Rhinolophus ferrumequinum: one gene and its partner. The protein of the gene in region 1 interacts with the protein of each later gene in a pairwise test. Links are inferred from orthologs where the notes say so. Each region holds a gene or a part of one and is shown in the gene's direction. Other genes may lie near its edges.

Region 1 (7,169 bases):
TCCCCTCCCGATCCCCCCAGTCTTGCTTCAGTGGGCTCCTCACCCCTCAGAGCCATGGAAAAACTTGGGCTAGTGGCTTGAGGTTTGAGGGGAAAAAGGGAAAATATGACTTTCCTGTTCCTCTGGGAATTGTTGGGGATAGTTGTCTCCAAAAGGGTACGAAGTGGGCTCAAAGGAGGTGCTTAACAGGGCTTGTTGATGAGTGAAGGAAAGAATGAGTAAGGAAGTGAGAGGACGGATGTATAGTTGTATGGATAGATGGAGGTGTTAATGAGTGGGTAGAAGGGCAAGCGAGTGGCTGGCTGAATGGATGCATGAGGTGACGGCTAGACGGGTGGGGTGGTGGATGAACGGCTGGACGGGTAGGTGGCCCGGGTAGAAGATGAGTGACCAGTGGGCCTGGGTCTGAGAGATTTCCACTCTCCCCACCCCTGCCACGGGAAGCTGTTTCCTCCAAATGGCCATCGGACTGAACAGAGAGCCAGAGGGATTGAAAAGAATCAGAGCATCTCCAGGCCATGGGGAGTGAGCCCAGTGAGCAAAGAACAGAAGATTCTGCCCAGTGAAGACTGGAAATTTCACTGCTGTCACCACACCTAATCTTGTTCCCTGTGTCCTCTTGGCCATTGGTTGCTGTGGTTCAAAGACAGGGCAAAGCCTCCAAGGGAAATGTGGCTCGGGGGGGCCCACTGGGGGTGGGGAGGGCAGTCCCAGAATGCCTGAGTCTCGGTGGCCGCTGACTACTAAAATGGAGTCACATGACTGCATCCTGGCCGTAAGGGAAGCTGAGAGCATGTTCTCCCTTCCACCCTGGGGAGGCTGTTCAGGAGAGACCACGAATATGTCCAGCAGCCCCTATTCACACCGCCCTTCCCAATTCCAGCCCTTTTCTCTCTCAGTCATGGTTGACCAGGCCCAGACCTGGAGGCGGTGTCATCCATACACAGAACAAAGTCTGTGTCCTGCTTTTCAGCACACAAAGTCTGTGTCCTAAACACAGATCAGAGAGCCTCAAGCCCCTCCAGGCTTCTGCACAGTGGCTCTCTCCTCCCAGTTCTCCCTCCCGCTGACCTCTGCCCCTCCCCCACCTCCACTCAGGCACTGCCTCCCCCAGGAATGCAGCTCACATTCCAGACGTCTCAGTGGCCTAGTCTGGCTCACAGAGCACCCGACCCTTTCCTGCAGTAGCGCCACCACCTAGGAAGCTTGGGTTCACATGGCTTCACGGCCACATCGTGACTGGGTGCCTTTGGACAAGACCCTTCACTTCTCTGAGCCTCTGTTTTCTTATCTTGTCGAATGGGGTTCCCACCTACCTCACAGAGTTGGTGTGAGGGTTATATGGGATCACGTATGTCTGGGGCCCTGGGGTCCCCACTCTGGGATGCGGTGTAATCTAGACTCTTATGTAAGCCGAGCCAGCGTTGGGCAGAGGCCCTGGCTGCAGAGGGGCCCCTTACCACACACTCCCCAGGGCTCTGTCATGGCCTCAAGGTCTGGGACAGCAGCCTCTCCTTGTCCAGCAGTGGTGTTCTGCCGCCCGAGGCTTAGGGGCCATCCCAGGGTCCCTCCGGGCTCAGGGGTCAACTTCAGCCGTAGGTGCAGGTTCCACTGTGGTAACTGGCCGTAGTCTAGAGTGGGGCCATTAAGAAAAACTACAATATGAGGTGTCCTCCTCTCATCCCCACCCCAGAACACCAGGCCAGTGGGATGAACTGGACAGGGTGGTCCTGGTGGGGGGTTGGGATGGAGGAACAGGCTGTGACGAGGGTGCTGTGAAAAGACAGCAGATGGGGAGTGAGCAGAGGCCAAAGAGGGAGTTAGAGCCTGGGGAGGACGGAGGGCAGGCAGGCAGGAGCTCCAAAGCCACTGGACAGTGGCCCATAGGAGTAGCTCTCACGTCACATGGCTCTCCTGGGCCAAGCCTTACAATTTTGTGGGTTGGCTCAGGTCTTAACCTCTTTCTGGGCCTCAGTTTCCCCAACTGTGGTGACGACGTTGGCCGCGTTGACACAATGTCGCTGCCCTTGGCCCTGCCAGGGTCTGCCGTGCGTGTGCCTATTCCAAGCTTGGGGTGCGCCCTCACTCCTCACAGCTACCCGGGGCTGGAAGAGAGCCTCACTCCCATTTCAGGAGGAGCCGAGGCCCAGAGAGGGCACTGACTCTCCCCAAGTCACACAGCCTGTCAGGAATGGGTGTCAGAGCCAAGGGGGTCGGGGGACCCCTCTACTTCCTGGGCTTAGAGGTGAGACTCAGAAGGCCCACCTCAACTGTTCTCGCTACTGCAACACAGACACACGTCGGTACACATGGCACAGATGTGAACACACAGATCCACGACGCACACACACATGCACTCAGTTGGGATTGGGGGTTGCTGTTTCTGGGGGTTCTTGCCCCGGCTCCCGGACCCCCTTCCATTCTGTATACACCCTCTGAAACAGGGAAGCTGGACCCCACCCAGGGAAGTGAAACTTTGCAGGACCCCCTATTGCTCTCCTCCCCAGAGTTGGGGGCCCAGCACCTCCTGGCAGAAAGTTCCCCAGCCCCCAGGACCCCCAAAAATAGCCAGGTCTGCTGAGTAGGCCCTTCCTTCCTCCCTAAGAGGCCAGCAACAAGTCAGCAGAATCCCGGCAGAGCGGGCAGCCTCTCTGTTGGAGACCATGGCTTCTGGAGCAACCGCGGGCCCTGAGGCCTCTGCCCAGAGTATGTGGGTAGCTGGGACTGGGAGGGAGACAGACACAGGCTCGCCTGCTGACTTGTTCCACCGTCACCTACCAGTTTCGGCCAAGTCATTCCACCTCCTAGAGCCCAGGTCCGTACTGTGAAACGCGCCTCGCTGCCTGCCCTCCAGGGCCAATGCAGGTGAAGATTCAATGACCCTGATGGTGGTCTCTGCCCTCCCTTTGCTGCCGTCCAGACCCTAGGAGGGGGTCCTCCCCTCCAGGAGGTACCAGGGGACCCCGCTCCCTTGGAGACCCGGCTTCACACTTCATCACCCCTGCCCAGCTATCCTATTAAGGTACCCACTGCCCTGAGGGGAGCCACCTTCCCCATGATAAGGGTGGAGGGCAGGACAGCAGAGGCAGGCCCAGGCTTCACCATGAGTTGAATGTGATCTGCGCAGCTGCAAAGAGGGTTGGCCTGGAGGGGCCTGGCCACCGGAAATGCCAGCTGGTGGGCCTGGTTCTGGCCAGGGATGAACCAGCCTGGGAGGACTAAGTCTGGGAGCGAAGAAGGCCTGAGACCAGATGCCTGGGGATGGCAGGGGGGAAACGGTGGGGGACAGTTCACTGCCCAGCTCTGCCTGGCTCTGCCTCTCTCCTCAGTGACCTCTGGACCGTCCCTGAGGCCATGACAGAGCCCTGGGGAGCTCTGGGAGATGTGTGGTCAGGAACCCCTCTGCAGCCAGGGCCTCTGGGCCCCACGCTGGCATCACTTACATGAGTCTGGACTCCACTGTACCCTGGAGTGGGGACCCTTGGGCCCTAAATGCATGTGATCCCATTTAACCCTCACACCAACTCTAAGCCTGGGGGAGGGACAGGCCCAGAAGGTGGGCTCAGATTGGACACCCCCAGGTGCCAGCTCCAGCTCTGCTCTAGTGCCCTGTGTGCCCTTGGGCATTCTGTCTGAGCCCCAGGTTCACATCTGTGAAGTGGGTCTGACGGTCACTTCCAAAACAAAGCAAGATGAATCTCTGAGTTACCCCTGCTCCTCTGGGGGCTGCAAGGGCAGAAGCACGTTGCCGAGGGGACAGAGGGGTGGGGCAGCTGCCAAGGCACACGTCTTAATAGGAAACGCAGCAGCCTGGGCTGGTGGTGGCCTACGGCCCAGTCAGTGGATCAAAGGCTGCATTCCAGGCCCGCCGGCCTTGGCTGGACCCCGACACAGTAAACAGTCCATGCTGGACCGCCTTCTGAGGCGCTCTCGGGAGAAGCTCATCTTCATCCCAAGCCTTAAAGATTCCCTGCAAGTAATTTTCCAAGTGGGGGCCCTACTTGACTTTGGGAGGTGGGGGCAAGGATCCAAGCCTGGCTACAGGCTTGAACGCAGTGGACTGTGGCCGTGGCCAGTGGCAGTGTGGGGTGGAGCTGGGTGGGGAGACCACAGAGCTCCTGACCTCTGGCTGGACTTCAACCCGCACCACCCACTCCCTGCTCGCCACCAATTTGTGGCAAACACTTCCTGCCCAGGGATCTCCAGCCCCATAAATACCAGCCAGTCTAGGAGGGGCAGCCCAGCCCTGGCAGGCCAGGAAGCCCAGACCCCCATCAGCAGGTAACCACCCCGCTCCCTGAGGTCCCTGCACTGGCTCAGAGGAGCACGCAGGAGGGGCAGGAAGGAGCAGATGTCACCTGGAACCCTGAAGCTCCATAGCTAATGCACGTGATGTTCTCTGCTTCCCATCCTATGCCTTGGTTTCCCCATCTATAGAATGGGAGCCTAATCCTTTTGTTATAGGGTGTGTGTCTCGGTGAATCCACTGCCCCAACTTATGAGGAAGAAATGCCTTCTCTCCGAAGGGAGCAGTAAAATGGTCTCACAGAAAAGCAGGGTGCCCTCCCAGGAAGGGTGCTAAAGGGGCTGCAGGCACCAGGAGGGACAAACCCTGAGCTGAGCCATGGAGGTGCAGTGGGACTCAGCCGAGCTACCAGCCAGCCATACTTTTTGACAGGCAGCTGCCCTGCCCGGCTTGGACTCGTCAGACCTCAGGGAGCTCACCACCACTATCCTGGCTCTGAGCACTGGGCTCTACATCTGTGCTGGAGTCGCCTCAGCAGGTCCGCCCACCAGGTCCTTCACCGCATACCAGAATGTGCTCGTTGCCTGTGCCTCGAGAGCCTCTGCGCCGCGTGGCAGTGACCGGGGGCACCCACGGCAATGAGATGTCTGGCGTCTGCCTGGCCCAGCACTGGCTGCGGGCCCCGGGGGAGCTGCAGAGACCCAGCTTCTCTGCCATGCCTGTGCTGGCCAACCCGGCGGCCACAGCCGCCTGCCGTCGCTACATGGACCGTGACCTCAATCGCACCTTCACCAACACCTTCCTCACGTAAGTGTCCTCGCGGCTTTGGGGCCCCTGCCTGCCAGGATGGCCCAGCCCGTTAGCCTGGCACCGAGGTCCTCACCTCAAATTCTTCCTCCAGCCACCAGCAGCGCACACCCCTCTGCTCTCAATGCCCATTCTTCCTTTTTCAATTTAGGGAAATCCAGATTGATGTCATCTCCTCCAGGAAGCCCTTCCTGATACCACAGTGGGTCAGGGCCTCCTCTGAGAATGGGGAGTAGGACCAAGGTGTTATCTTCAGCTTACTGGGGGAGACAGGATAAACTCAGCAACCACAACCCAGGAGGCTAAATGCAGGGGTGGGGGCAACACAAAGCATCTAACCTGGCTACGGGTAGTCAGGGAGGGCTTCCTGGAGGAGGTGGTATCTCAGCCAAACCCTAAAGGGTGATTTAGAAGTTAACCATGTGAAGAGAAGAGAAAAGGAGTTTCCAGGGAAGGGCCCAGCAGGTGCAAAGGTCTGGCAGTGAGACCAGCACAGTGCTAAGAAGTGTGGCTGGAGTGAGCGCTGATAAGGCAGGCTGGCAAGACCAGGTTGAGGGTTTGAACTTTACGGGAGCAGTGGGGAGCCAAGAAGGGCTCTGGGTAAGACAGGCATGCCACAGAGGCACGAGGGATGAGTCCCTGAGCTGCTCTGTCTCTCTGACAGAGCCTGTCAGTGGCTGATACCCTACCCCTACTCCTGCAGTGCCAGGGCCCACCCAGATGACCCATACGAGGTGACAAGGGCCCGAGAGCTGAACCAGCTGCTGGGGCCTATGGCCTCAGGCGGGGCCTTTGATTTTGTCCTCGACCTGCACAACACCACAGCCAACATGGGCACCTGCCTCATCGTGGACACCGCCCACAATGTCTTTGCGATGCACCTGTACCGCCACCTACAGGTGGCCCTGTGCCCCCAGATTGCGGAGCGAGGGAGGTTGGGAAGAGAACACCAATGGCTCTGGTGCCTCCGTGGCTGGGGGTGCGGAGGAGGTGGTTCCCTGGGCTCCTGTCCCTGGGGCCGGCCACCCGCAGATACCCCAGGCCCTCTGGACCCCTCACCCCACTTCCCCAGGTGGTGCCCTGTGCTGTCTCTATGTGACTCCCCATCTCCCCTCCTGGGGCCCTGACCCACCCTTCTGCTCACAGATGCTGAGCCCGGAGCTGCCCTGCCGGGTCATCCTATACAAGCTGCCCAAGGAGGAGAGTGGTAGCCTGAATTCAGTGGCCAAGAACGGAATGGGTGTGCCACGACCTTGGGAGAAATTGGCGGGGCTGGGAAGTGCGGGGCCAGATGATGGGCGGTGTCAGGGGCCTGGGGTCCGGCATCCCCCCTCTCTGGGGCACTTGCCTGACCCCTTCCTTCCTGGTCCCCAGCCCTGGAGCTGGGTCCCCAGCCTCAGGGCGTGCTGCGGGCTGACCTTTTCACCAGGATGAGGGCCTTGGTGGCTGCAGCTCTGGACTTCATCCAGCTCTTCAACCAAGGTGAGACCCCCCAGGATTTGCTGGTAAACTGAGGCCCAAAGAGGAGGGGGCTTGGCCCAGGGGCTAAGGAGCCAGGCTTTTGGGTGGGCTGGGAACGAGTCCTGAGGGTCCCTCACAGCCCACTTTGCCCTGGGGCCTGGAGGGATGGACAAGCTCATGGATGCAGCCTACCCCCCACGCCCCGCACAGGCACAGCCTTTCCTGCCTTTGAGATGGAAGCATATCGAGTCCTTAGGGGCATGGACTTCCCACGCACGGAGGCGGGGGACCTGGCAGGCACGGTGCATCCTCAGCTGCAGGTATGTGTGTGGAGTGTGGCCTCCTATGGATTGTGGCCTCCTGGCTCACAGCCTTGGGGCGGGGGGGGGGGGGGGGGGGGGGGAGGCGGGGGGGGGGGGGGGGGCGTCCGAAAGCCAAGGCCCAGAGGCAGGGACCACAGAGCCTCCCACAGAGTCACCACCATCTTAGAATCAAGAGCAGGACGGTAGCCTGGGCCCCCATGCCTCTCCGGGAACCCGGCACACGAGCCTGGAGCTCTGGGCCCCAGTGACACTCACAGTGCCTGTGGAAGACACCAGAGGCTCCTCAATAGCCCGGAGACACCTCTCCTGGCCACAGAAGGCAGAGGGAGGGA
Region 2 (6,886 bases), on another chromosome or scaffold:
ATGTTCCACAAGATGACTATATTTGAATAAATGTAGATTGTTGTACATGAAAAAGTAAGACATGCCCTGAAAATACGCCCTTATGCCTCTTCTGGAGCAAAAATTAATATAAAATCCAGTTTTCAGGAAAATACGGTATAAGATCCAGTCTTATTTTCGGGGAAACTCGGTAAAAAGCTGATGTTGAGGAGGAAAGAATGGAAAAAGAAACTGTTTATTACAGCATTTTTCTTCATTTGTTATGACAGATGACATGCTCATTACGAAAATTTTAAACGATACTAGGTTATAAAGTTAAAATTGGAAGCCTGCCCTTCACCTCATTCACCTCCAGTTCTCTCCCCAGAGGTAACTAACCACTGTTAACACCTTGTAATGCATGCATTTTTTTCAAAACACAAGATCACACAAAACTATGTTCTGTGACTTGTTTTTTCCAGGTAACGCTACCCCATGGTCACCTTTCCATGTCGGCAGATAGTTCAATCTCACTCTTTTCAAGGGCCGTGTAATACCCCATAGTATTGGATCCACCATTTACTTAACCGTGTTGCCACTGGTAGAAACTTAGTTTACTTCCAGTTTCATCTGTGCTATTGTTTTGTTTTGCCATTAGAAACATTCAGTGAACATCCTGCTATGTGTGCTTGGGTATTTCTATTAGGTTACCATTTTGGAATTGTCAAAGGGGGAAATTGCCAGTATCCCCACCACCTGAATCTAAAGACCACTTCCATTTTGCTGAGAAGCTGCTGCATGGCTTTGGAGAAGAAGGGTAAACCCCACACAAGGATCCTCAAAACTTGGGGTGCCTTGGAATTACCCGGGAAGCATAAAAATAGATACCCAGCTTCTACCAGAATCTACAGGGGCTGAACACAGGCGAGTTTTGTTGTCTCTGCTGATGTTGCTTTGGGGGTTTTTTGGACAGCTCCCAAGTGCTGCCCTACGTGCATTGCAGGAGCCCTAAGCCGACTGCCACTGTCACGTGGAGATCTGTGACTTTAGCTCGGGAATAATGGGATGGATAATGCATTTACTCTTTGTGCCCTCTGCTGGTACTGCGTGAGCAGATCACACGTCGACGTGAAGGTTTTCATGTCAAGGCTGGTGAGAAGCCAGCACTCATCCCCCAGTGTGGTGACACTTCGGGGCAGCGACTATCGACCCAGGCTACACATGAAAATCACCTGGGGGACCTATTTGTAAATAGCTCTCCAGGTGATTCGGCACATGGAGCCAGGGCTTGAGAACTTATTCTTTAGGCAAAAATTGGCCCAGGAACACAAAGTCCACAGAGGCGTCTGACGTGAGAGCCCCTAGACCTCTGGGTAGTGATCATGGTCCCGGCAGGAGTGCTGTGCTCTCTGGGATGACACTGCTGCCCCAGTCATTGTGCAGCTACTGTCCTGGCAGAATGAAAGGACCCAGCGCTAGGCTTCATCTCAAGTCCCGTCTCCTGCTGGGTCCATTGCACCATCACCTCTGAATTAACTAACGCTTAATATTTGCTCCCACCTGTTGAGTTTGCAAAGCACTTGACATTTATTGTTTATTCTCACACCCATCTCACAAGACAGGCAGGAGTTTCCATTTAAAAAATGCAAAACCAAGGTTCAGAGACTGACTTACCTGCCCCAGGACAGGGAGTTGAGAACAGACAGAACAGAACCCAAGTCTTCTGACTCCTAGTCCTATGCTCCCCTGGCCACACCTCTCTTCCCACTTCACTGCACTGTACTGAGTGAAGTTGGCATAGCTTCCTCCAAAACAGCCACTTCTGGCCATTACCTACCAACGTCACCGACGGCGCAGTAAGAATTTGCACCACGGGCCTCTTTCCTAAACCAGGTGACTAGCATCCACCTGGTGAACGTTCTCATCCCAAAGCACAAGTTCCCAGGGGCCCTGGCAAAGTCTCCAACTGCCAGATCTCCTTCTTTAGCCTCACTCACACCCTCAGGCTTCTGTCAGAGATCCAGGCAGCCCAGTGCTACCCGGAAGCCCAGCGTCCAGATGTTCAGTTGCGCGTGTCCAGCACCCCAAACACCTGCGTGAAACGCTCTCTGTCCACGATGCGTCCATAGCGCAGGGTAAGATAGAAGGTTTGCTTCCCACTGTACTGCTGGATCCGCACGAATAGCTCCTGAGGCCGGTCCTGGGTTTCTGCCAGGGGGATGATGTCAGCCACTGGGCAGTAAGTGTCCTGCCGCCAGCCCCAAAAGGTCAGGTGGGCCACCCGCAGCACGGTTCCTGACTCGTTCAGGTACAGGATACCCACCAGCCTCCGGAAGAAATAGCTCATCCAACACAGCATGGTCAGGGCGAAGCCAGCTATCCCACCCACAAGGCACAGGGAGTTGAGAGTCATGAGGCCCTGGGAGTACCAGTAGAAGCCAGGTGGCAGGGCCACCACCGTCAGGGCCGTCTGTGCCACCTTCAGCTGAGACAAGTACCCAAAGGCTCTGATGGCATCCAAACGGTAGACCATGTGGAATTTCTCTGTCTCTGTGCCCAGTGGTCTCTCCTTCGAGGTGGCCGACCTGCTCCCCACGCACCTCCTAGGATCCTGCCCACTGCGGTACCACAGATGGTAGAGTGGCCTTCCCCACACGGTTGGCCCTGGCCACCGCGGCACAGCTCGGAGCAGGACAGCCTGGAAGGGAGACAGGAGACCATTTCTCTCAAAGAACTCAACCGTGCCCGTGACACAACCAACATCGGCAAAGATCTTACATGGAGGCTCCCACCAACCCTGTAAGGTCACCACTATTGCCAAAGCCAGAGGAAAGGTAAACCCAGATGCTTTACCTCACGTGATCTTCACAAAAGCTGTGTGAGACAGGAACCACTACTTCCACTTTACCAGTGAGGAAACTAAGCCCAGAGAAGTAAGAAATTTACCCAAAGACACACAGCTAGTGAGTGGGGCAGAGTCTGACTCTCACACTGGCCCTCTTTCCTCCAGGCAGTTCAAGTAGGTATAGGAAAGGAGGTGCAGCCTTCATTCATTTAACAAATACCTAGGGAGAGCCTACTCTGGGCTGGGCGCTGGAACTATAAGGCTATGTGAACACTTCCCCAAGCAGGAAACTAAACAGTCAATGTCCTGTGGACAACAAATTCGTGAGCTATATAGTATAATAACTTTTTGACTTTCTTGTCAGGTTAAAGAGTCATCTGGGTGTTTTCTTAGCCTTGTTTGGAGAGGGGGAAGGAATGGAAGAGGAGGGAAGGATGGAAGCACAAGGATTTTAGCAGGGGCCCAGTTCTACACCTTGAGTAGTGCAATGAAAGATGCTTTGGGTTGTGGAATCAGATCTAGGTTCCAATCAACAGATCTGGGTTCCAATCCTGACACCTAAAGTCACTAGCTGTGGATGCGTGGACAAGTTACTCCACCTCTCTGGGCCTCAGTTTCTTCATCTTTGAAATGGGGATTCAGAACATACTGAATGAGATAATGGTTTTAAAGGCCTCAAATGCACTTGATGGACTTGATAAACTTGCTACACAGTGAGTTTTAGTTATTGCTATTGTTGACCCACGTGACCTGAGTGCACAGGAAGCCCGGGAATAAGAAATCGTAACCCACCCCGGAGGCCTCTCCCGCGCGCTTTCCCCGAATCACAACCCCAGGCGTCGGCCTGACTCCGACCCCAAAAGCGCGTCAATTCCCTCAGTTCCCACCACCCTCCTTCTTACCATGGTTCTGCTGCCAGCTGTCGTAAGCGAATCCCACCTGCCCCCGGGATCGCTAAGAGCGCATGCTCGGCCGAAGCAGGACTCAGTGGACGCATTGTATTCTGGGATTTGTGGTCCAGTGAGAATAGCTAGTCCCAGGCACTGTGGGAGGGGATTCTCCTCCTCCCAGCGTGCCTTGCCGCACGGAGGCCGAACCCGGAAGTTCCGGGCCGAGGTTCCGGAGCCAGCGAGTCCTAGTAGATGCGGTGTGGAATCTGGGGACATGGCTCTGCCCGGCCCGGCGCTCTGCCTCTTCGACGTGGACGGGACCCTGACGGCTCCGCGGCAGGTAGGCGACGCCCGGCAGGCTGGAGGCAAAGGCTGCGGAGCCTCCTGCTGCTCCCTAATGGGGCTAACGACCCCCCAGGGTGTGCGTGGGGCGGGGGGGGCTAAGGACCGCCTACCTTTTCTGGCGGAGCTGAAGTCTATAGTGGGGGACCTGGAGGGATGAGACGGAAGACCTCAGTATCGTGGTCGCGCGCGGCTGCCGAAAGAGTAGCCGGCGGCAGCCGGTGTCTGTTTATTTAAGGAGAGAAGCACCGACAGAGGAGTTGCGGGGGGCGGGGGGGCAGTCTAGAGTAGACTGCTGCACCGATGAGAAGCTATGTTGGAGTTTTACTTTTTTCTATGCAGGGATGTGGGGTGCTTGTCAGCTTGCAGGGGTTGCCGTTATAATTGGTTTCTTCTGGGAACCGTTCTATTCCCACAGCTAGCTGGGGGTTGGGGGGGATTCAGAGCCAAGCAGTTAGTTTTTAAGCTCGTTCCTGTTAACTCTCAAGCTCCTGTTAACTCTCGTTCCCGTTAACTCTTTACCTGTCGCATCACTCAGGGTACTTGGAGATGGGACAGGGCCGAAAATTTCTTGAGAGCAAGAAACTTGTATTGGGTTGGAAAACGCAGTTCTGGACTGTCACTGCAAGCCCTGGGTTTGAACCCCAGCTCAGCCCGCTTACAGCCATGTGCCCTCCTCAGTCCTGTCACCTATGGGCTGTGCTTTGTAGCCTGTTATGAAAATATCACATAGGTTTTCAGGTGGAAAAGACCTAGTAGGTTCTCAGCTTTACCTCTTAACAGCTGTGTGACCTTGAGCAAGTTACCTAGCCTCGGCATCTAGGACTTTAAATGGGGACATTACCTGTTCCCATGTGGTGTTTGTGAGGGTTGAATGAAATCAAACAAGTTCATGAAAGTATCTTGGCACACAGTAGGCTGTGTTCAGTAATAATACAAATTAGCCGCCTCCATTACTGTCTTCACCAGCCCTCAGAATAGGCTGGGGTGGTTGAGGAGACCTAGATTGTTACAGGCTGCCTGCTGAGAGCCTCCTAGGACTCCTGGAAACTTGCTTCCCACGTTCAGATTTTGTTACTCCAGGCACATACAGGTTTCAGTTAAGATCAACATTTGTGAGGAAGCACCTTCTGACCTCCCCCTTGCACAAACTGGTCACCGAACATCAGCCATTCGCACTTGAGACTGGGCCCAAATGGCCTCACTAGCTTCAGGTTCTATCCTTACCTCCCTTGGTTTTGGCTGGGTGGTAGCAGTGGTGTGCTGCAGAATTCCACAGCACATGTGTGTGACCTTCGACATGTCATTTTACCTTTCGGGGCCACATGTTTGATATATCTAGTGAAGATATTCAACTGCAAGTTCTCCAAAGGTCCCCTTTGACTCTGAGATTCAGTGATCAAAACACAGTTGTGGGTTGTCAAAAACCCATAGTGGTCTAAAGCCAAGCAATCATTGTTTGTAAAGAGTCAGATAGCAAATACTTCTGTCTTTGCCAACCGTAAGGTCTGTAGTAACTACTCAGCTTTAATGCAAAAGCAGCCATAGACCATATGTAGACACAGCGTGGCTACGTTCCAGTAAAACTTTATTCACTTACCACAAAAACAGCTGCTCAGTTTGGTTCGTTGGCTGTAATGGTCTAGGGTTGATATGCCAAGCCTCTTTACACAATACGATTGGACATTTTCAAACTTTCTCCTTTCATCCCAGGTAGGATAGTTGTTACTACTATTTTAAGCATAAGGAAACAAACGCACGATTGTCGCTGGGCCTCAGGGCATTGTTACTTACTAAGAGTACCATTTTCTGCTCTTGTTCTAAGGTGGCAGCTATTCTGCTTGCTGGATATGTCATTCGGGGAAGTGCTCTGACTCCCAGAAGGAATCAGGTTATATAAGCATAAGGAATGAAATAGCAACAAAACCAGGCAACCCACAATGTATTCCCTTCAAACATTTGAAACACAACATTCATTGCAGTGAAAATAAATAATTTTAACACTCAAAAAAGTCTGTAATTAAGAGAGAATTGTTTCTGTGTGCTGGGTGCTCTTCGTAAAAAATAAAAATATTTTCGCAACAGATCTATTCATTATCCAGCTTTTCCCTTCCTTGACACACGCGTTCTCAAACACTGATAAGCACAGTACAGTCAGGAAGCAGAAGACTAGCTATTATTTCTCACAGCTGCTAAAACAGGATGTGACCTAAACAGGTGAATTCTCATTAGAATCCTGAGCTTTGCCCATTTCACTGTTTTCCTAGAAGTCTGTTGTACTAAACACTCCCAAGAAATGTCATTCTACCTAAAAACAGTTGAGCCTACACAAAGAAGGGAGACGTAAATCTAGGTGAGTTGCTTTCCAACTTTCTATGATGAAAAATTTCAAACATGCAGAATCACTTAAAAAACCAGTACACAGAAGAACCATATCCCTACCACTTAAATTCCACAGTGGTTGACATTGGCTTTATCTTCTTTTTGTTTTTTAATCTTTGCTGTACCACTTCCTAAGCTATAGTCATCACGCTATTTCGCCCCTAAATATTTGAGCCTGCATCTCTTTAGGACGTGTATCGTAACCACAGTATCTTCATCACACCACAAAAAACTATCCCCAATTCCCTAGGGTTTAATACCCAAAGACCAGCAAACTTTTTTCTGTAAAAGGCCAGATAGTAAGTAGTTGAGGCCTCGCAGGCCATGTGGCACAACTACTGTCACAACTACTTAACTCGGATGTTGTAACCAGAAGTGAGTGGACATGCCTGTGTGCCAGTCATGCTTCACAGAGACAAGCAGCAGGGCTGATTCTGGCCCATAGTTGGTATTTTGTTGACTCTTTGTC

What was found.
Region 2: the proteins of ACY3 (region 1) and PMM2 interact in binary tests that used the Homo sapiens proteins (3 or more experiments, as listed by UniProt). The two-hybrid records come from large-scale screens. The link is inferred for Rhinolophus ferrumequinum from reciprocal best matches to the Homo sapiens genes ACY3 and PMM2.

What each region holds. Positions count from the first base shown.
Region 1 is NC_046294.1:4,657,787-4,664,955, forward strand, and holds the start of ACY3 (N-acyl-aromatic-L-amino acid amidohydrolase (carboxylate-forming)), read left to right. Parts: upstream 1-4,155; 5' UTR 4,156-4,281; intron 4,282-4,678; 5' UTR 4,679-4,817; coding exon 4,818-5,053; intron 5,054-5,756; coding exon 5,757-5,952; intron 5,953-6,199; coding exon 6,200-6,293; intron 6,294-6,427; coding exon 6,428-6,535; intron 6,536-6,724; coding exon 6,725-6,834; intron 6,835-7,169. UniProt on the Homo sapiens protein: Plays an important role in deacetylating mercapturic acids in kidney proximal tubules. Also acts on N-acetyl-aromatic amino acids.
Region 2 is NW_022680357.1:9,030,192-9,037,077, forward strand, and holds the start of PMM2 (phosphomannomutase 2), read left to right. Parts: upstream 1-3,967; coding exon 3,968-4,033; intron 4,034-6,886. Other genes in the region: TMEM186 (transmembrane protein 186), read right to left, coding at 2,021-2,656, 3,706-3,969. UniProt on the Homo sapiens protein: Involved in the synthesis of the GDP-mannose and dolichol-phosphate-mannose required for a number of critical mannosyl transfer reactions.